3 linked regions of the Elephas maximus indicus genome follow. The protein of the gene in region 1 purifies or fractionates together with the protein of each later gene. This does not show direct contact. Links are inferred from orthologs where the notes say so. Each region holds a gene or a part of one and is shown in the gene's direction. Other genes may lie near its edges.

Region 1 (7,085 bases):
CCAATCTTGCACCAAGTATGCTGATTTAGCATTTAGTTTGGAGCAAACATTTGTGTATAGCCTACAGTGCACCAACATTCCCAGATACACAAGGAAAAATATTAAAATTTTATCATCCTTTAGGGAGGCAATAAAGGACCAAATTCGTTGGCTACTTGGAAAAGAAGTTAGTTTTTATTTTGGAAAAATTAACAGGTGTATGGTCTTGAATGGACGTAACCAATTTTGGGGGCCACGTTATTTCATCCTTGACTGGAACACAATCATGTATGTGGCATCTATGGCTCTTAGAATTGGGGATCCCTGCTGAGTCTATTCACAATGGTTTCAGAGCAGTTTTCAAAATAATAATCATCTGGATAAGCATTCATGCATGACTCTCCAGAACTCAGAGGGTTTGAGGGTAAAAATGGCTTTTAAAAGTTCTTCAGTATTTGTCATAAAGCTACTTGGCTGAATGTCTCTTGAGGAAGAGCGAGTGCCATTTCTATGTCTGTGTTCCAATAACAGTTGTTGCTGCCACTGGGCCTCACCATCTGGCCTAAAGTTCCTTCTTGATTGGGTACAGGCCTTGAATGGGATGTGGGGGACACACCCCAAATTTCCCTGGTAAGTCTTGGCAAGTTAATTGAGGAATATTTTCTTTGGAAAATCCATTTTTCCCACAAAAATTTAGATATTGGTTTTGAAGCCAATTCTTTTTTCATTAAAAAAAAAATTTTTTTTTCCTCTTTATGTATTTATTTGCCGGCCCAGACAAACTTGACTAGAAAAGAAGCCCGGGCATGGGATAGGATGAGCTCATGACGTGGCAGGAGCTCCAACCAATTGAAAGACCACGAAAGGGGGCGGGCGGAAGTGACGAGACGTATCCCTCCGCGGGGCGAGAGGGTCGGTGGGGGGAGTCTGCGTTTCTCTCCCCCGCGCCAGCTCCCGTACACGGAGCCGCATTCCTTGGCCCCCCCACCCCCTCCCTCGGGGCCCCCCGCCCCCCCTTGGGAAAAAAATCCACCTCAATTCATTTGAATCCGAGGGAGATTTCTTTACACCCGCGGGGAGACGAGTTTTCAACGGTTCCTTCTTCTTCGTCTCCCCCCAAAGCCCCGTCCCCTCCCCTGCTCCCACCCCCTTCTCCCGGCGTCGGGTGCAAGGTCCCTTTAAGGCGACGGCGCCTTCCTCGGGTCAGAGTACCGGCGGCGACGACCACGGGAGGTGAGTGAGCGAGCGAGCCTTCTCTCTCCCCACCCCTTTCTCCCGGGGGTTCCGTTATCTTTTCGCTTGGTTAGGCGTTCCGAGGCGAGACAATGAGCGGGGGATGGGGCGGGTACGCGAGGGGGTGGGGGCGGGGGGGCCGGTGGCGCGCGCCCCCGCACATCGCGAGTGGCGGCGCGGCCCGCGGCAGTGGCGGGCGTGGGGTGCGGCGCGCGCGCGCGTGTATGTCTGTGTGTGCGTGCGCCCCCGGAGCGGTGCAGCGGCCGGGTGGTGGAGGCTTCTGCCTGCCTGCCGGCCGCCCCCGCCCCCCGGCGCGCGCGCGCACTCGCGTCCCACGGCTCCACACACATCCCGACGTCCACACGCACGGCGGGCGCGAGGCGTCTCGGAGGAGTGGGCGGGCGCGGGCGCGTGCAGCGGCCCGCTGGGGAAGGGGCGGGGGTGCGGGCGGCGGCGAGACGGCTGGGTGTTGGCGAGGGGGCGAGGCCGCGCCGGGGAGGAGGGCGGGCGGCGCTGCGGCGGGAGGGGCAGCGGGGTAGCGTTCCCCTTGGGGGTGGGCGTTCGTTCCTGGTCCTTTCCCGCCCCTGCTCTCTCTTGAGGAAGGAGAGGGGTGGACTTGGAGAGAAAGAGGAGGAAAAAGAGCGATTGCTGAGACGAACCCGTGTGTTATGCAATGACTACTCCTGTCTAATAGTACATCCCAACCCTTAGTACGTTCCAGTTAGTTTACAGAGTCCCCTCCCTCGGACTCAAAATGTCTTTAGGGATGGCGCCGTGATTTATAAAATGAGATGGGGCGGAGAATCGTTATATTCTGATAATTATATCCTGCCGCCGTGGGCGCCATGTTTAACTCAGGGACTATTTTCTCTGGATTGTTAGCACCGACTGAAAAGGGCTGGCGTCGTTATCCACCTGCTTTCCATCTTTTTTGCTTGCTGTCCTGATTTTCCTCTCCCGCCAGTCGCGGGATTTCTTCAGACCGCTAATGAAGCTAAAAGTTTCTTTGCTTGCTTGTCTCGGGCGTTCTTAGCTCAAAAAAGGTAGAGCTGAAAAGGGCTTTGTAAATCGTTTAGCCCAATCTCTTTTTTGAGATTGAAATTGAGATACAGTTGTAGTATTTCATAACAGCTTTCTTGTGGCAGACCGAGGCCCGGCCCTCTACACTCTTTGAGACACTCCTCTCCGCATCTGAAAATCCCACAGAAATGGGGTTTTACTTTTAAAGGAGTTTTCCCAAGTAGTTGAAGGAGGAACGGTGGGGGCGAGAAGGGCAGTTTCTTGGTGAATGACAATTTCGTGATTCGATGGGCTTAGGACTGGGAAATTGGATTCTGAATTCGAACTGCTTAAGCAGAGCCGTTCTTCAGGGTGCATAAAAAGTAAATGGGAGGTTGCTAAACATGCAATTTTGGGGGCTTCATTTCCAAAGACTATTTGGGTGGAATGGAGCCGGAGTGTCATTTTTCCTGCCTTTTTAACCTGCAGCCCCTGAGATGACTCTGCTTAAGGTACCTGCCACATAGAGAATTATTGGTCTAGTATAAAGTTGCTCAAAATACAGTTAAAACAGAATGAAATGGCAATCTATGCCCTTGGCTTCCCTCCCCTTTCCTGACCTATGTTGGTGGTGTATCCCAAACTGAGAAACTAACAATGTGATTCTTGAGATCAACAGGACTTGCAAGAGTTTCAACCTTTTCCTTGAACCAGTGTATAACCTAGGAAAAGCAGTTTTCAAAAGGTGGTCTGCTCACCCCTGGGGATCCCAGACCATTTCAGGGAAGCCAGGAAGTCAAAACTTTTCAAAATAGTTTATTTATTTATGTTTTTCGTTCACATTTGCGCTGATGGTCCAAAAACAGTGTTGGGTAAAAGTACTGGTGATGCTGTAGCACAAAGCAAGGCAGTGGCACCAGACTCTACTGGACTTGAGAATGTTCTTTATGAAACAGTAAGCATTATTGATTTTATTAATTCTCAACCCCTGAGTGCAGTCTTTTTAAGGATCTGTCATGAAACGGAAGGTACGTATAAAGCACTTACGCTGCTTACCAACGAACAATTGCAGAGGAAAAGCACTTGTGAGATTGAGTTGTGAGCTGAACCAGCTGCTTGTTTCATGGAACAGCATTTTTATTTGAAAGGACAATTGACAAACTAGTTTTTCAGACTTGATTATTTGCTGGAAAATGAATGAAGTGAGCAGCATGTCACTTTAGAAAAACAGTTGACAGTATTTGCTAACCAATGATAAAATTCCAGTGAAAAGTGGAATTTTAAAAAACTTGACAGCTTGAATTTTGACAGCTTCCCAGTGCTTAAAAGAATTTAATGGTAGTATCAGTGATTAGGGACTGTGATTTTTTTTTTCAACTATTGTGTAATGAAATATGCCAACATTTGAAAGATCAAGATTAACATAACTCAGTCTGTTTCCCAGATGACCAGTGCATAATGCTATAAAATCGCACGTGGGTTAAAAAAAAAAAAAGATCATTTAAAACGGCAAGATGGACTGGTAGATTTTAATGTAACGGTATGAAAGGTTGATTGATAAGGTTTCAGATGGTGCAGTGTATACCTTAAGCTACCATTTGTTGAGTTTTCCTATTAAAGAATGTCCACAGCTATATGAACAGATTATTAAAATAATGCTTTTTCCTACTACAAATTTGTATGAGGCAAGATTTTTTTGTACTTAACCAAGACTACATATGGCGGCAGACTGAATGCGGAAGGAGATGCGAGAATCCAACTGCCTTCTGTTGAGCTATAAACAGAGGTGATCTGCGAAAGTGTAAAACAATGTTATTTTTCTTACTAATTTTTTTTGAAAATAGTAATTTTTAATGAAAATGTTTTTTATGGTAACGTGTAATAGGTTTATTCGTTTTGAATGAATTGGTATTAAAATTTTTTTTTTAGTATGGTAAATATTGGAAAATATAATCCCAAAAAATAAAAGCTCACTGGGGTCCTCAGTAATTTTAAGAGTGTAGAGTGGTCCTGACACCAAAACATTTTAGAATCGCCGATATAAGGGGTAACTTTTGGGCCTGTTTTATGTTTCTGTTTTTTAGATCACCCAAATCTGCCTCCATTTAGGAATTTCTGAAGATTTTACAGATGTTACTTGGAGTTAATACTGGAAGAGGCAGTGACTTGGGGAAAAGTGTAGGCTCTAGGGTGAGAAAACTTGGTTTGAATCCTGGTTGGGATTCTAACCCAGGGTGGTGGGGAGGGCGGGGGCAGTAGTGGTTCGGTGGTAGGAGTCTCTCCTTAGGGCAGGAGACCCGGATTTGATTCTGGCCTGTACACCCATGCTCAGCCACCACCCGTCTGTCAGTGGAGGATTGTGTATTGCTGTGATGCTGAACAGGTTTCAGTGGAGCTTTCAGACTAAGACAAACTAGGAAGAAAGGCCTGGCAGTCTACATCTGAAAATCAGCTAGTGAAAACCCTGTGGATTACAACAAGTCCAGTCCACAACTGATCATGGGAATGGCACAGGATCGGGCAGCATTTTGTTCTGTTGTGCATGCGGTTGCCATAAGTTGAGTTTACTCGACAGTAGCTAACTACAGTCTTGGGCAAGTTACTGAATCTGCTAAACCTCAGTTTTGATCTCATCTGTAAAATAGAGCACTTAAGGCATACTGTTGTTAGGAGAATTTACTGAGATGAGGAATGTGTGAAGTGCTCTACAGTGCCTAGCATATCAAACAGTAAAATAAATTTCAACAGTGTGTTTCCATTTTTATTCTCCGTATTTGCCCTTTTTAATTAATTTTCGTTGAAGGTAGAAATTCCTGATATAAAATTAAAAACCCTAGTTTGGTGCCTCTGTCATATTATCAAGCTGTCTGTCGTAAGATTTGATAGATTCGTTGATATTCTGGTTTGTGATGGTAAGCCATATCCACAAGAATATATATCTTACATGTAACTAAGGGGAGGAGAGAAGGGAGAGAGATTAACCTATTGCTAGGACTTAACAGTTAAATTGAGCGAGTAGACATGGAACTTAGCGTACAACTGTCAGTAGAGAAAAACTTTGTATGATAGGCAATGTTTTTGGGAGAGAGACTATAAAATGGGGAATTTACTGATGCTTTAGTTGCTCTTTTAATAAAGAGCACGTAACTAATATTTGGTTGCTTTTATTTAAAAAAATTTTTAAAGTTTCTGTTGTGAAATACATGTAACAAAACATTGGCCAATTCAACCATTTGTTCTTCAGTTCAGCCATTTTTGCATGTACAATTCAGTGACATGGATTACATTGACCACGTTGTGCAACCATTAATACTTTCTCCACATTTTTCATCACCGTTAACAGAAAACTCAATATTCTTTAAGCAGTACCTCCCATTTTCTCCTCCCACCTGCCCCTGGTAACGACTGATAAACTTTGGTCTTTATGCATTTGCCTGTTCTAGATATTTCATGTAAGTGAAATCATACAATATTTGGCCTTTTGTGTCTGACTTGTTTTGCTCAGCATAATGTTTTCAAGGTTCATCCATGTCTTAGCATGTGTCAGAACTGCATTTTTCTTTATGGCCCAATAATATTCCATTGTATGTGTATACCACATTTTATTTATTCATTCCCTCTGTTGATGAACACTTGGGTTGTTGCCACCTTTCGGCTATTGTGAGTAATGCTTCAGTGAACATTGGTGTACAAGTATCTGTTTTTGATTCCCTGCTTTACAAATCTTTTGGCTGTATATCCCAGAAATCACCCAGTGCCATCGAGTCGATTCCAACTCATTGCGACCCTATAGGACAGAGTAGAACTGCCCCACAGAGTTTCCAGGGAGCGCCTGGCAGATTCGAACTGCCAACCCTTTGGTTAGCAGCCAAAGCACTTAACCGCTATGCCACCAGGGTTTCCGTGGCTGTATATATAGGTGTGGAATTGCTGCATCGTATGGAGATTCTATGTGTAACTTTTTAAGACCGTTCATGCTGTTTTCCACAGTGGCTGGACCGTTCTACAGCCCCACCAATAGTGAATGAGGATTCCAGTTTCTCCACATCCTCACCACACTGGATATTTCTGTTTTTCTGATAATAGCCATCCTAGTGGGTATGAAGTGGTATCTCATTGTAGTTTTGATTTGCATTTCCCTAATGACTAATGGAAGGAGCCCTGGTGGTGCAGCGGTTGGAGCGTTCGGCTGCTAACCAAAAGGTCTACCCTCCAGCCACTCCACAGGAAGAAGATGTGGCAGTCTACTTCCGTGAAGATTATAGCTTCAGAATCCCTATGTGGCAGTTCTGCTCTGTCCTATAGAATTGCTGTGAGTCAAAATCGACTTGACAGCATTGGGTTAATGACTAATGGGAGTCCCTGGGTGGTGCAAACGGAAAGGTTGGCGATGTCCCCATAGAGGTGCCCCACAAGAAAGGTCTAGTGATCTGCTTCTGAAAAATCATGCATGGGAAACCGTATGGAGCACAGTTCTACTTTGACACACATGGTGTCACCATGAGTCAGGATTGACTTGAAGGCAGCTGTTCTTCAATGATTAATAATGTTGAGCATCTTTTTATGGGCTTGTTGGCCATTTGTATGTCTTCTTTGGTGAAATGTCTATTCAAATACCTTGCCATTTCTCAATTCGATTTGCCTTTTCGTTGTTGAGTTCTAGTTATTTGTATATTATCGGATATATGGTTTCCAAATATTTTCTCCCATTCTGTAGGTTGTCTCTTTGTTGATAAATTCCTTTGATGCCCAAAAGTTTTTAATTTTGATGAAGCCCAGTTTATTTTTTCTTTTGTCATTGTGCTTTCTGTGTCGTATTTAAGAATCCACTGTCAAAAACTAGATCCTGAAGCATTACTGTCGTGTTTCCTTCT
Region 2 (7,891 bases), on another chromosome or scaffold:
TTGAATCTACAAGGCGCTCCTTAGAAACTGTATGGGGCAGTTCTACTCTGTTCTGTAGGGTCACTATGAGTTGAAATCGACTCCACAGCAAAGGGTTATTTTGGTTTTTGGTAGGAAAAATTGTCCAAAGCATGGAAATAAGGCAAATGAATGATTGCATGGCCTTTTTATGTCATGCCCAACAGGCTCACCTAAGGATTGATTGGGAGTTTGACTTATTATTTCTTAACGATGTGGGCTTTCACACCATGAAGTTACATGTCTTGTAGATTTTTGTCCAGCAGAGATGCGAATGACTTCTATCAGATAGAAAAGATTACCCTAAAGGTTACAGTTTTATTTCACTGTAGAATGTTAACCACTTTTTTTATCTAACCTAGCAATCTGATTCCAGTGTTCCTTCTTCTAGTGATTAGATATACTCCGTCTTAGGAATTCTCTTTGACCTAGCTTTAGCTTCCTCTTGATTCCCTTATTAATGAGATAAATAAATCTTTGATAACTGTTCACTTTATATTTGTGTGACAGTCATGTTCTTAACTTTCTGAAAATTATACTTTGACATTATTGGAAACCCAACGGAAACCCTGGTGTTGTAGAGGCTAAGAGCTATGGCTGCTAGCCAAAAGATAGGCAGTTCAAATCCACCAGGTGCTCCTTGGAAACCCTATGGGGCAGTTCTACTCTGTCCTATAGGGTCGCTGTGAGTTGGAATCGACTCAACAGCAACTTTTTTTTTTTTGGGAAACCCAATACTAGAGCTTGATACACTCACACATGGAAAGAATACCCTTTTCCTTATACTCATTTAATAACTAACTTACCATTTTAGCTACACATTATTCTGCGTTATTATAAATTAGAGAGAAATAGAAACTAATTTGGAGTCCCTGGGTGTTATAAACGGTTAAGCACTGGATTAGTAGCCAAAAGACTAGAGGTTCAAACCTTCTCAGGGGCACCTCAGAAGACAGGCTTCAGAAAGGTCACAGCCTTGAAAACTGTATAGAGCAGTTCTACTCTGCACACATGGGGTCACAATGAGTCAGAATGCACTCGTCGGCAACTAGCAACAGCAGAGTAATTTGTTTTGTTTTTAGTATTTATAAAATAGATATGTTAATTATGTTGTTGTTAGGTGCCCTGGAGTCAGTTCCAACTCAAAGCAACCCTGTGTACACTGCCCGGTCCTGTGTCATCCTCACAATCATTGCTATGCTTGAGCGCATTGTTGCAGCCACTCTGTCAATCCATCTTGTTGAGGGTCTTTCTCTTCTTTGCTGACCCTCTACTGTCCCAAGCATGATGTCCTTCTCTAGGGATGGTCCCTCCTCATAACATATCCAAAATACATGAGTTGAAGTCTCGCCATCCTTGCTTCTAAGGAGCATTCTGACCGCACTTCTAAGATAGATTGGTTTGTTCTTCTGGCAGTCCATGGTACATTCAATATTCTTTGTCAACACCATAATTCAAAGGCATCAATTCTTCTTTTTCTTCCTTATTCATTGTCCAATATTCACATGCATATAAGGCAACTGAAAATACCATGGCTTAGGTCAGATACACCTTACTTCTCAAAGTGACATCTTTGCTTTTTAATACGTTCAAGAAGTCTTTTGTAGCAGATTTGCCCAGTGCAATACATCATTTGATTTCTTGACTGCTGCTTCCATAGGCGTTAATTCTGGATCCAAGTAAAGTGAAATCCTTGACAGCTTCAATATTTTCTCCATTTATCATGATACTGCTTATTCGTCCGGATATGAGGATTTATGTTTTAAGTTGAAGTGTAATCCATACTGAAGGCTGTAGTCTTTGATCTTCATCAGTTAGTGCTTCGAGTCCCCTTCACTTTCAGCAAGCATTTTAAAACCTATTTTACAGGAAATCTTTCTTAATTTATTTCTCAGTTTTTATGATATTCCTTGAAACATATACTAATAACGCTACAATCTATATTGAAAAACTAAGTCTGGCTCTTCTCCACAGAAAGTAAGTGTGATTTTGGCTGATTCATTTGACAATGGGGACTGACTTTGGCCATTTCATTCTATGTAGGCTTCAAGTATGCGCAGAGGTGTGGCATTGTTTTTCTTTAACATGCTAAGAAAATGACAAAATTTGACCTGTGTTTATATTTTGGGCTCCTCCTCCCAAAAGAGTATCAGGCTGTCACTTCTGGTGGCAGTATAGTTCACCTGCCTTCACACACTCCCTGAGTTGGGCCCTTAGAATCTTAAGGTAGGTTGCTGTAACATTCAACTAGGTTGTTAATTATATGCTAAACAAGAGCCTTAAATACAGGTTTGTTTGAAAATCTATAAAGGCCTAGTTTTAGTACATGATTTTGAGAGCATTGTCTCTTTCTTTGATTACTTTCAAGTTTAAGGTAATATTCTGATTGTAAAAAAGACAAAGAGTTCAATAATTGTGAGCCTATTTGCATTGTTCATCTTGAACTATTTATGTATTCTGTAACTGCTGCTTTGCTTATATAATTTCAGTTCTAAATAACAGCGGAGAATTTTTTTTGTCTTTTGTTGTTATTGTTTAACTGGCAGAGAAAACATCAATAAAAATGATGCGAAGTTTTTGCCCTGTCACAATCTAAGTTTTGGCTTCCAGGAGTTGTCTTATGGTAGAGGTTGGCTTAGATAGGTCTTTGGGATAATCAACACATTCAAACGCTTCAGGAAAGAACCAAGTAAAGCAACTCTTCCAATTTAGGCCTGCAGGTGCAATGAACCTTGTTTCTGAAAGTAATATTCATAGCAGCATCTTCAAAGGCTCCAAAGAAGCTTCTCGAAGAAAGGGAACCCAGCGCTCCTTGGGCTCAGGTGATTGAGAGACCCTGCTCTGCTCTGCTGAAGAGGTACCTACTGAGGTGGTCACACACTCTGCAACCACGTACTGACCTAAGAGGACTTCCTTTTGCAGGGAAAAAGCATGAAACACCAAAAAGACAGTGCTCTTGTACAAATTGACATTTCATTGAAAAGTCATCCTAGAGACAGCTGATCTTTGCCAGCTGAATAAATAATAAACTGGTATCTTGTTTACCAGTTTTTGGTCTCTAACCAGTTATTTAAATAGAAATTATGTGATGTGAGTGTCAAAGGAAAATACCTTCCAGGAAATGGCTTTAGGAGTAACAGCAACAACAATAATAGAGGGTTGCAAGTTATTTAAGTAATGCTGATCTAACGGCAACATTCATATTATAATCATTAGGAACTTTCTTAATACAGACTTAAGAGAAGACGAACAGCACACCATCTTTGCACATACTGAATTTCACAAAAGAACTTCACATTAAAGACCACAATCTCACTAATTCTTAACAGGTAAAAAACTTGATGTTCAGAGAAAAGAACCTCTCATGTCTACATTTAACATTTAGTTTGCAAAGCTTTTTTTAAAAATTGCATTTTTATTAACAAGGCTGAAGACTTTTGTTTTACTTGCTTATTGGACATTCATGTTTCTTTTTTTGTAAATTATCTGTGTCTTTGGGCCACATTTCTAGTAGAACGTTCAACTTTTTCTTTTTTACAAAGAGCTTTTTCATGAGAGGGGTTTATTACAGAAGTGAGCCTAGGAGAACGGGGTTTGACATCCACTTATTAGTTGATCATCCCAAAAATGTTGAGCATCTACTTATCTGTGCCAGGAAATGAGAAAGTAAGCAAAACTAGCGACACGCAATCCCTCCCGCAAAAAGCTTATAGTGTCCTTGGGCAAGTTCGCTCCATGTCGCCCCATGGAGGCGGCCTTCATTTGGGCAGTCTGAGTCCGGAGGGACAAAATGAGTTACAATTTTAAAAACTTTATGGAGAAAGCTGGAAACCCTGGCGGCTTAGAGGTTAAGTGCTATAGCTGTTAACAGAAGGGTCGCAGTTCAAATCCACCAGGCGCTCCTTGGAAACTCTATGGGGCGGTTCTACCCTGTCCCTTAGGGTCACTATGAGTCAGAATCAACTCGACAGCACTGGGTTTGGTTTGGTTTACGTGGAAAGTTTTTCTTTTTTCCTTTCTTTTTTTTAAACAAAGTTATCATATCAGATCAGATTTAATGAATCATTTTGCTAAAAAAAAAAAAACCGAAAGTCAGAAAATTCCCTAAAACACTTCCAGTGATTTGATTATTCGAAATAAAAAATCACCGTAAAATTGAAGACTGTAGGATCTTAAGACTGGAGATACCGACACAGAGATTAAATAAATCCTTGTTTATTCAAAGGTAAACTTGGCTTAGACAAAGTAGGGCAAGAAGGCTGGCCTAAGGATTTTTGTCTTCTTGTAATTAACAGGATCCACCCAAGCATATGCAAAGAACTTAAAACACGGAGTTTCCTATTGCAACCCCATTGCCTTGGTACGAAGGCACTTCAGGGTCAATGGGCCTATTAATTTTAAAGATCAGACAAAAGACAGAAACAAAACAAAGAAACAAAGGCTCGCGGGAGCGGTCTGTGGCTGCACCCAAGACCAGGCTCGGGTCCCTCGAATCCGGGTGGGGGACGCCGAGGCGAACGGCCGCCGCCAGCACCCCGGCCCAGCCCTGCCAACCCCGCAACCCGCTCCGCACAGCCGCCCAGGCCCCGCCCCCCTCATCCTGCGCGCGCCCGGCCCTCTCCCGGAGATGGGGCCCCGCGCGCGGAAGGCGGGGGCGGGGCGAGCGGACGCGCAGGCACTTCCGGTTGCGCGGCGGCAGATGCTGCACACGCCGGCTCTCTCTCGGCATTGGGGCGCCACGCGATCCGCCAGCTGATTGGCCCGCGCGGGGCGGCGGTAAACTCGCTTCCCCCTCACCCGCCAGCCCCGCCCCGCCCCCGGCTCCGCCCCTACACCCGCGGCCGCGCGCACGCTCGTGCGCCCGAAGCCCGGCTCTCTGCGTCTCGCGTCGCCATTCGGGAAAGCAGCCGCGCGCCGCAGGGGCCCCGCGGAGGAGCCTGGGCCGCCGCGAGACCCCGGCCCGGAGAAGCCGGCCCTCCCCGCCGTCCATCCCCCCTTGTCTCCCTTCGCCCTACGTGGTCGCCGCCCGCGGGCCCGACCGGTGAGAAACGTGAGCGGGACCGCTGAGGAGAGGCGGGAGGCGGGGGAGGGGCGGCCCTGGGGGCGGGGACGCGCGGCTGGAGGCGTCGTTCCGGCGGGCCCGCGCTAGGCCCGAGGGTCCCGGCCGCCGCCGCCGCCCCGGGCCGAGTCTGCCAGGGGAGGCTGTCGGCTTTTCCTGAGGAGAGGGCCCGGGGGAGGGTCAGCTCGCGCGGTCGTGCCCCCGCCCGTCCGGAGCCCAGCCAGGGGCCCGTCTGGGAGAAGCCGGTGATGCCGACCCAGCTTTGGGGCCCGGGGACCGGCCTGTCTTCGGTCCGAGCAGGCACTGCTTAGGGACGTCACCGAGGAGTGCAGGGACCTGGCCTTGGGTTCTGGCAAGGTCGAGCTTCTGGAAAGCCGGGCGTTTTGCAGAGCACTTCTGGAATGCTGGGGGTGTCAGTTGCATCGGAGACTGGAAACATTTTCTTAAAACCCGTTGGGAAGTTGGGGCCTGGCACAGGACGCAAGGCATTCTTTCTGTTTTAGCTCTCGGTGCCATCTTCTCTGCCTCTAGTCTGTCTCAGCTTCTGTTATTGTTTAAAAATCGGCTAGGGATGAAGAACAATACTGCAGGTAGTCCCCACTTCCGACGTCTTCGGGTTACCACAACCGCACTTAGGACCGCCTGTTTTGCTTTTTGCACATCTTATTGTTAGTAATGGAAACCCCGGTGGCGTAGTGGTTAAGTGCTACGGCTGCTGACCACAAGGTTGGCAGTTCAGATCCACCAGGCACTCCTTGGAAACCCTGTGGGGCAGTTCTACTCTGTCCTGTAGGGTCGCTAAGAGTCGGAATCCACTCTACAGCAACGGGCTTTTGTTGTTGTTAGTAATGTGTGCTATATGCAGTATCAGAGCATGTAATTTGCTGATATTCTCAGATATTCACTCCACTTGCAGATGTTCAAAGATAGGATTTATAAAGATACTGATAATAAAAGACAATAATAACACTATCTGTAGTGTGTATAGAGATTCATAGTACCCAATTAGCTCGAGATATACTCCATATATTGAAATTTCATTTTAAAAAGATGTATGTTAAAATGCATTTTAAAAGATGATTGATGATGATAGATTTCAAGAAGGAAATTGGATGAGAAAAGAGAAATAGGTGTGATACCACATGGCATAGTACTGCGTTGAAAAATACTGGATGACGAAATGACAAAGCGCCACTGATTTCAAATTTGTGTTTTTTAGAGACAAATTGTTCTGTAGAGGAGAAAAGTAGAATGGAGAAATTAAAAAAATTTTTTTTTAATCAGTCTGAACAATGTAGAGTTTTTTTTTTTTTTAATAGTTTCTGTCAAGTTTTAAGAGCTCTGAGATTTAGGGGGAAAAATTGCTAGAATCTTTAAACTGGGAGGAACTGTAGATATCTAACCTATGCCTGAACTCACTGAACAGCATCCCTGTGGGTGATCAGCTGCTGTGAAAAGATAGTGTGGTGTGTTAATATAGAACCAATAAGGAAACCAGGATCTCCTGTTGCTTCCTCTGACCTAATTGTGTGATCTTTGACCAGTTGCTTCTTTCCCTCAGCTTCGATTTTCTCAATTGTAAAATGAAGAGGTTGGACTCAGGTCCTCTGAGGATCCTTTCAGTCCTATAGTGATCATCGACTTCCAGTTAAGGGGAGCTTCTACCTGATAAGGCAACTTCTTCTAGTCCATGATGGAGTAATTTGTAAAACTCTTTTATGTTTGAGCTGAAATCGCTTTTTCTGCTGGCTTCCACTTGCTGTTTCTAGGACAGCTTACGTATTCTCAATAATTCTTACCCCTTTGAAGGTAAATATGTCTAGTTCTCATAAATGACATAAGACTACCTGGCATCCTGGTTGCTTTCTTTGAGTATTCCCCAGTTTGTTAGAGGCTCTTTTAAAGTGTTCTTCCTACCCAGAGCTGGACGCAATGATCCAGTGGGATACCCTGTCCAGTGCAGAATATGGGGTGCTGTTCTCTGTGGTCCTGTATTTCTGCAGTTGATATTTGGACTTTAAATGCTTGATACTTTTCACCTTGTTGGTTTTGGTCCATCTACTGGCTTTTTAAGATCTTGCCAAATTCCACAGTATTAGTTTGATCGTGATATAACTAGACAGAATGGGGGTAGATGGCAAAACTTTATTCTAGTCCTTCATCAGATGCTGGTTATTTACCTTTCTTTGGGTAAGTCTGGAGCCCTGGTGGCACAGTGGTTAAATGCTACAGCTGCTAACCAAAACGTCAGCAGTTTGAATCTACCAGCTGCTCCTTGGAAATCCTACTCTGTGCTGTAGGGCTGCTATGAGTTGGAATCAACTCGACAGCATTGGGGTTTTTTTGGGTAAGTTATTTAATGTTTAGACTTGCATTTCAGTAGATCATCCCTGAGGCTTTCTCCTGCCCTAAAGCCCCATGATTCCAAGGCTAGATGGTAGCTTAAGCCGCTTCCAGTTTTAAAATCCCGTCAATCTCTGATTGGGTTCCCAGTCTTAGAGTGAACAGATATTTCCTGAACACCTACTGTGTGCCAGGGATGTGCAGCGGTTACAGAGGTGAATAAATAGGTAGTCCCTGCCCTCCCAAGAGCTCACCACCTAACGTGGATCAGGTTATAGTGCCATAGGATAGTTGCTGTAATGGAGGTGTGTATACAGAAGGGGGATCCAAGGATGACTGAGAGGCAGTGGGAAACTGGGAAATACTTGAGGAGAAATACTGCCTGAAGGATGAGTACAGATTTGTCTAGTGGTTGAGTGGCACGATGGGGAACGTAAAGGAGAAGAAATAGCTTATGCAGAAGTATGGAAG
Region 3 (7,309 bases), on another chromosome or scaffold:
GGTGCTGTTTTATAAAGATCAGGGAAAGTCTCTCAGATTGGCATCTGTGCCAAGATACAAATGGTGAGCACAAGGGCAACTGTTGGAAAATCAGAAGGAAAAGCACTTTCTGGTAGAGGGAACAGCAAGAGCAAAGGCCTGAGATGGTAAAGAGATTGTGTCTGAGGTGAAGTGGAGCTAGACAGGAGTGGAATGGATAAATAGGAGAGAAGTGGATGAGGATAGAAAGATAAGCTTGGCCAGGCCAAGGCCCCGGGTTAAGAACGTCTGACTTGGACGACTCGTACTTCAGAACTAACTACCATATAAGCCTACCCGTTGCCATTAAGTCGATTCCGACTCATAGTGACCCTATAGAACAGAGTAGAACTGCCCCAGAGGGTTTCCAAGAAGCGCCTGGTGGATTTGAACTGCTGAGCAGCCGTAGCTCTAAGCCACTACGCCACCAGGGTTTCCAACATAAAGTATTAAAATTTAAGTTAAATACAGGCACTCCCCCGGGTTAATTTTTTTTTTTTTTTTGCTCTTTAATGTTATGTAAATTTGCCCTCACTTTGAAATCATTGAACCAAGCCCTACTCCCAACAAATTCTTCATCACAATCACCTTCACTTGCTGCAGGTGCAGCTTTTAAATCATTGAAAAGGTTTTGAGCCTTTTCTTCCATTCAAGTAAGGCTAAATAAGAACTGTGTGCACCTGTTCTGATTTACCTACAAATTCTTAAAGCCTCACTTAGGAACGGATCTTGTTTGTAACCCGGGGACTGCCTGTACAATGGTTCATAACAAGCAACACACGCACTACTTTGTGGTGCTCGGGAAAACGTTTTGCAGCGTCAGCGGTTTGTCAACTTGAGGAAGAAGAACCCGTCTGCCATTTTACGCTGGACCACGTTGCTGTTAACACTGTGTCGAGTGTGTAATTTTGGCTTACATTTTCCCCTCATTTACCCTTGTAACCATGCCTCCAAAGCGTAAATCCAATGCTAGTGCTGGTGATTCAAGGAAAAGGAGAACGATCACGATTGAAAATAAAATGGAAATAATAAAGCGATCAGAAAGGGGAGAAATGCCATCGGTCATTGGAAAAGCGTTAGGCTACCGTCGGTCAACAGTTGGAACAATTATAAAGAATACAGTGAGAATAATGGAATACGTGAAAGGCTGTGCCCCGATGAAAGCAACAATTATCACTAAGCAACACAGCGGTTTAATTATTGAAATGGAAAGGCTATTGATAATTTGGTTAGAGGATCAAAATCAACGTAATATGCCTATTAGCCTTACTTTAGTGCAAGAAAAGGCTCGTAGTCTTTTCAGTGATTTAAAAGCTACACGTGCAGCAAGTGAAGGCGATTGTGAAGAAGAATTTCTTGCGAGTAGGGGTTGGTTCAATCGTTTCAAAGGAAGGGCAAATTTACATAATATCAAAGTGCAAGGTGAAGCAGCGAGTGCAGATATAAGTGCTGTGAGTGACCTTCCTGAAAAGATGGAAAACATTATTGAGGATGAAGGTTATTTGCCAGACCAAATATTTAATGTAAACAAGATGATAGCATTTAAAGAAGACCAGGACCTAAAAACTTCAGAAATGAAAAAATTTTTGACGTAAGAGTTAGCTGAAGCCTTTCGTCTCATTGAAGCAGGGATGGCAAAGTTAGAGGAGCAAGACCCTAATACAGAAAGGTTCACCAAAGTTTACCGTACAGTTAATGAGGGCCTTAGCTGCTACAAGGCCATTTATGACAAGAAAAAGAAACACTCTATACAAACCTGTCTTGATGCCTACTTCAAGAAATTGACTCCAGTAGTAAACCGCTCAGCTCCAGCAGCACAATCAAACCCTGACTCTCCAGCACCAGGCCCTTCATCTCAATAGTAGCCACCTCTCCATCATCTTTTCCTCCATCGTCCAAGATATCAATGGAACGAGAGTGTGTTAACCTTTAATCATGACCTTTTTTCTATCTAAACTGTTTTAAGACCTGTTTCTTTACAATTTTTTTTTACAGTACTGTATACTGTTTTTCAGTTTTTTTTTTTAACTTTATACCTACACACATACACACAGATCTCTCTTCAGTCCAGTACCATATGTAGTTACTTTTATTATTACTGCATTATTATGTGCTGTGTTATTAAGATGTTTTAGTGTATTTGAGAGTGTTTCTTGAGTGTTTTATATGCATAGAGAGGTAAAACATATGCTATATACTGTTGTAGGGCAAAAAAAAAATCACAAAGTTTAGTAAAGCAAAAAAAGTTTTAGTTGGCATATATTCAAAAAGGCAAAAGTCGGAAAACGGACAAGAATGCTGCCAGAACCACGTCTGCCCGAGTCCAAAGAGTATTACCGAATAAGCAAGAGTGGGGAAAACAGACAAGCGTGCTGCTAGACTCATGTCTGCCTGAGTCTGAGGAATATTACAGAATAAGCAAAAGTGGGAAACCGGACAAGCATGCTGCTAGAGCCGCGGAAGAGTACAGAGTCATCAGTATATATTAACATCACAAAGAGGCAAAAACCACTGAAAGCTTCACCTTTTCGCAGATAGGCTAGAAACTGTGATCTCATATTTGGAGCATCTTTCTTAATAATCATCGCTACAGACTTCATTAACAACGGTCAAAACCGGGGGGAAAAAACCCCCAAACTCATTGCCATCGAGTTGATTCTGACACATGGAGGCCCTACAGGACAGAATAGAACTGCCCCGTAGGGTTTCCAAGGAGTGGCTGGTGGATTTGAACTGCTGACGTTTTGGTTAGGGGCTGTAGCTTTTAACCTCGAAGCCACCAGGGTTTCTATTGGTCCAACAAATTTTCTATTCACTAAATGCTAATAGAAAAGGATAAGAATGGAAACTCTTGTGTTCTGTTTTTTGGCATATGTAAAAGGTTCTCTAAAGATATTTTCCAAGATTATCCTAGCTATTGTCTTTATACCTCCTGGCCCATTTGATGTGTCCTTGTGAGTCCTTGTGAACCCAGCTCCAGCTGGGTCACATTCTCTATGCTCAGGGAATGGTGATTCCAATATTATTTTCTAAATCAATACTAAGACAAACATTTGACTAAAAAAAACCAAAACACTAAACCCAGTGCCGTTGAGTTGATTTCAACTCATAGCGACCTTATAGGACAGAGTAGAACTGCCCCATAGGGCTTCCAAGGAGTGGCTGGTGGATTCGAACTGCTGACCTTTCGGTAGCTGAACGCTTAACCACTGTGCCGCCAGGACACTAAGTAAGAACCGTATGTTCCCGTTCCGACTTATGTACAAATCCGACTTAAAGAAGATAGGCTTAGGAACGGATCTCATCTGTAACCCATGGACTGCCATGATAAGGAGTCTAGATTTTTTCCGAAGTGCAACGAAATGCCACTGGAGAGTTTTAAGCTGGGATGTGACAGAGTCACTTTTTCCTGTAAGTCTGGAATGCTGCAAGAACTTCCTACACTCTCAGAATACAGTCTGACTGTAAAAGCCTTAGTCTCGGGGTGGTGCAAATATTAATGTGCCTCAAAAGAAAGGCCTGGCAATCTATTTCCAAAGGTCATAGCCATGAAAACCCTACGGAGCTGAGTTCTATTTTGACACACATGGGGTCACTTTGAGTCGTGACTGATGACAGCAACCAATTTTACCAGTAGGAGCCCTTCCCCTCTCCCACTCTGTGTTCCAGGCATACTAAACTTTCACTTCCTCAAACCATGCACTTTTTGCCTCTGGCTCTTCCTTCTGCCAGAAAGATTCCCATTCTAGCTGCATGCTATTCTTGGCTTAAAGATCACTGCCGTCTTTAACCTTTTTCCTGAACTCCAGATTGGGACAGGCATTTCCTCAGAGCTCTCAAGGCCTCCTATACTTCACCCATCCCAGGTCTGATCATTGTCTGATCTTCCTTTGCCTGGGGCGCCAAGAGGGTAGGGGCCAAGCATGTCCTGTTCACAGCAGAAAACCATGGTACAGGGCCTGACACCTAAAAAATTAGTATTTATCCTAGTTGCGGGCGGGGGGCGGGGCTGGTAAGGCACTTGGCCTTTGTGACCCCTCTCCAGATGCAAACTGAGCCTCAACTAAGACAAGGACAACCTCCGCGCTAGTCTGCAGTCCCTGTGCGCATGCGCCATTGCTCAGCATTCCCCCACCCCCGTTATGCTAATCACTGCGCTCCAGAGTACGCTTTCTCCCGGGAATATGCAAATCACTCCTTCCAGCCCTTCCATTGTCCCGCACTAGGATTATGCAAATAAGAATGCCTCAGGTCCAGGATCCAGATCGAACTGACGACCCCCCCATTACATTTTTATAAAGCTCCTTCCTGCTCCTCACACACGCTCCTGCCGCTTCTAGCTCTACCCGCAGACTATACCAAGAGAACCTGGCCAGTGAGGGCGAAGCCCGGTACCCCCTGAGCAGGCCTCTCCAACAGCCAGATCCGGATAGACCCTCTTCTCACAGTGCGACAGGAATGGTCCATTTCGTAGCGCAAGCGCCCTAGGCCCTTCACGCCCCTTGCGCTCCCTCCTACCCCATTTGCAGCGCAGGCGCAGAGCCTGGGCGTGCAGCCGCCGCCGCCGCCGAGCCCGAGCGGGGGCCACCAGCGCCGGTGAGTGTCCGGGGCAGGGGTGCGCGGGGCATGCCGGGAAGCGGGCGCTATGGCCCCTTTGCATGATGGGAATGACAGCTCCAGTCACTGAGCAGCCGTCAGTGGTCTTGGGCTGTGATGGCTAGAGAGAGAGACCCAGGTTCCTTTTTCTCTCCCTCAGTGGCTCGGTGCCGCCCTGGGGCATCCTGGGAAAACAGGGCTCCCAAGCCTGTATAGCATTGTGGTCTGCTAGTCGTTATTGGCCTGGTGCCTTCTGGGAAGGATTATCCTAGTTCCTTGTGGGGAATTTTTTTAATACACCATCCCCCCCAGCATCTTGGAAGGTGGTCATTATAGGCCTGAGGCATCTTGGGAAGAATTGCTTAAGGGCATTTTGGGAACTGGTCCTTATTGTCTTGTATATAAGATTTTGCTCTGGCCTCCTTGCCTTAGTTTTGTGGGGATGAGTGTCTGTTGTGTTCATGTTCACGTGGGGGATCTTGCGAGTTGTTTGCTGTAGACTCGGGTTATTGGGGGTCTCGGGCAGTTTGGCTTATGGTATTAAAATAGATTGATTTGGGCCCAAGAACCCTGGTGGAGTAGTGGTTAAAGTGCTACGGCTGCTAACCAAAGGGTCGGCAGTTCAAATCCGCCAGGCGCTCCTTGGAAACCCTATGGGGCAGTTCTACTCTGTCCTGTAGGGTCGCTATGAGTTGGAATCGACTCGAGGGCACTGGATTTGGTTTTTTTTTTTTTAAGATCGCGAGAGCCAGTCTGTCCGCCATAGGTATTGTAGGAGAGGCCTCAGGCACCAAGAGATGCCTCCCCCAGAGTTGTGGCATTTTCCAGGAGGGACCTTGTATGATGTGGGCTTAAAGAAGGGTAGGCCAAACTGATGGGCATTACCCCCTGGCAGCCTCATGGGAAGTCCTGATTGTCGCCTGTGTACAGTGGCCTGATGAAATATAGGTCAGTTCAATTTGAAATTCAGATGAACAACAAATAATGTCTTTGAAAATTATGCCCCACGTATTGTACGTGACATAGTTATCTTAATCGTTTGTTGTTCATCTGAAATTCATACGTAAATGGGTTCCCTCTGTTTTTATTTGCTAAATCTGGCAACCCTATCATGAAGTAAAGTAGAATTCCCAGGTTAGATGAGGCTTTCCAGGCAGTAGAGTATCATGAGAACTCTCCTGTCCTTAAAATCCCAGATGCAGGTGTCTTCTTTAGGAAGCTTCCCTGCCAGTGATGCCAGCCTCAGCTCCAGACTTCAGTCTGGATTTTTCTCTCATTAGTCCTCAGTATTAAACTTGACCTCCAGGCTTGAGGGGACCATGAATTTTTCATCATCGTATCCCTACCACCCAGCACAGGCCCTGGCATATAAGGAGGGCAGCTGAGACTGCCTGCCCTTTTGCTGACTGGCTCCACATGGCTCTCCACTTCAGGGAGTACCCAAAACCAAACCAAACCCTTTGCCATCAAGTGAATTCTGACTCATAGCCACCCTATAGGACAGAGTAGAGCTGCCCTGTAGGGTTTCCAAGGCTGTAATCTTTACGGAAACAGAGTGCCACATCTTTCTCCTGCGGAGTGACTGGTGGGTTCAAACCACCGACCTTCTGGTTAGCAGCCAAGCACTTAGCCACTGCACCACCAGGGCTCCTTTCAGGGGGTATAGTGGGAAACAAAAGTGTGAGTGTGTGTAGGGAGTATTGGTGAGGAGGGAGAGAAAGGAAAGGAGTCAGGGAAGGCTTCTTGAAAGAGGCAGTATTTGGGTTGGGAAGAAATACAGAGGTTGTCTATGTTTGAGGCGGGCTTTGAAGGGCAAGTGGGAGTTCTTCAGGCAGACAAGGGGAAAGGAGGACATTCAAGACAACAACAGATGTGGAAGGGCTTGGCGTGTGCACGGAGAGGTGAGAAGTCTGGAGTGGCTGGAGTTTATAGAGGGTAGGGGTGGGAATAGCAACAGCTACTGTTCGTGGAGTACCTACCACATACTGGCAATTTGTATTTATGAACTTACTGAATCTTCAAAAAATCTTTTCAAGGGAGAGATCATTTTATGAAAGGTAGGATGACATGGTTTCAAATTGTAGTTCAGTAGCTACCAGATGGTGTGACTTGGGCCAGTTGTTTATTTTTTCTGTGCCTCAGTGTTCATTCCTGTCCAAGGGGGTAATAATCTTTCTTAACATGGTTATAGGGAAAACATGAATTGAGCCCTGGCAGCCTCTTTCCTATAGAGAAAGAAACAGGTTAGAGGAGTTAAGTCCTCTGCTTGAAACCACACAGCTAGAGAGTGGCAGATTTAGGATGCAAACCTAGACACCACCGTGCCAAGGTTTAAACTGATATAGAACTAGGGCTAACAATTCACAGACCGGTGCAGCATATCCTTTGTTTAAATACTGAAATACTTCCTGACTGACTGGTATATCACCATTAAACCAATTCCTACCTCAGCTGCCACTATGGGCTCTCTCCCACCCCTAAACTGCTCCACTGTTTGGCAACTTAAGGGTTAATGGCTGGCACAGGGCCCTGCTCCATTCTTGGTTCTGACTGGAGCCTCTGCCAATACCTGTGGCTAACTATTTGGAATGTGAATAAGAACCACAGACAGTCCTGTTGCCCAGATGAGGAAATTAAGGCCTACAGAGAATCAGGTTCAGGTAAGCTCGGCCAAGGCCTTATAGGCAGCTGGGGA

Evidence for each region.
Region 2: the proteins of POGZ (region 1) and CHAMP1 purify together in Homo sapiens (affinity purification with mass spectrometry; 4 studies listed by BioGRID and IntAct, with this or other methods). This does not show direct contact. The link is inferred for Elephas maximus indicus from reciprocal best matches to the Homo sapiens genes POGZ and CHAMP1.
Region 3: the proteins of POGZ (region 1) and ZNF428 purify together in Homo sapiens (affinity purification with mass spectrometry; 3 studies listed by BioGRID and IntAct, counting the BioPlex papers as one, with this or other methods). This does not show direct contact. The link is inferred for Elephas maximus indicus from reciprocal best matches to the Homo sapiens genes POGZ and ZNF428.

The regions. Positions count from the first base shown.
Region 1 is NC_064821.1:185,499,419-185,506,503, reverse strand, and holds the start of POGZ (pogo transposable element with ZNF domain), read left to right. Parts: upstream 1-4,018; 5' UTR 4,019-7,085. UniProt on the Homo sapiens protein: Plays a role in mitotic cell cycle progression and is involved in kinetochore assembly and mitotic sister chromatid cohesion.
Region 2 is NC_064835.1:75,769,994-75,777,884, forward strand, and holds the start of CHAMP1 (chromosome alignment-maintaining phosphoprotein 1), read left to right. Parts: upstream 1-4,876; 5' UTR 4,877-5,059; intron 5,060-7,891. UniProt on the Homo sapiens protein: Required for proper alignment of chromosomes at metaphase and their accurate segregation during mitosis. Involved in the maintenance of spindle microtubules attachment to the kinetochore during sister chromatid biorientation.
Region 3 is NC_064829.1:106,885,764-106,893,072, forward strand, and holds the start of ZNF428 (zinc finger protein 428), read left to right. Parts: upstream 1-4,227; 5' UTR 4,228-4,614; intron 4,615-7,309.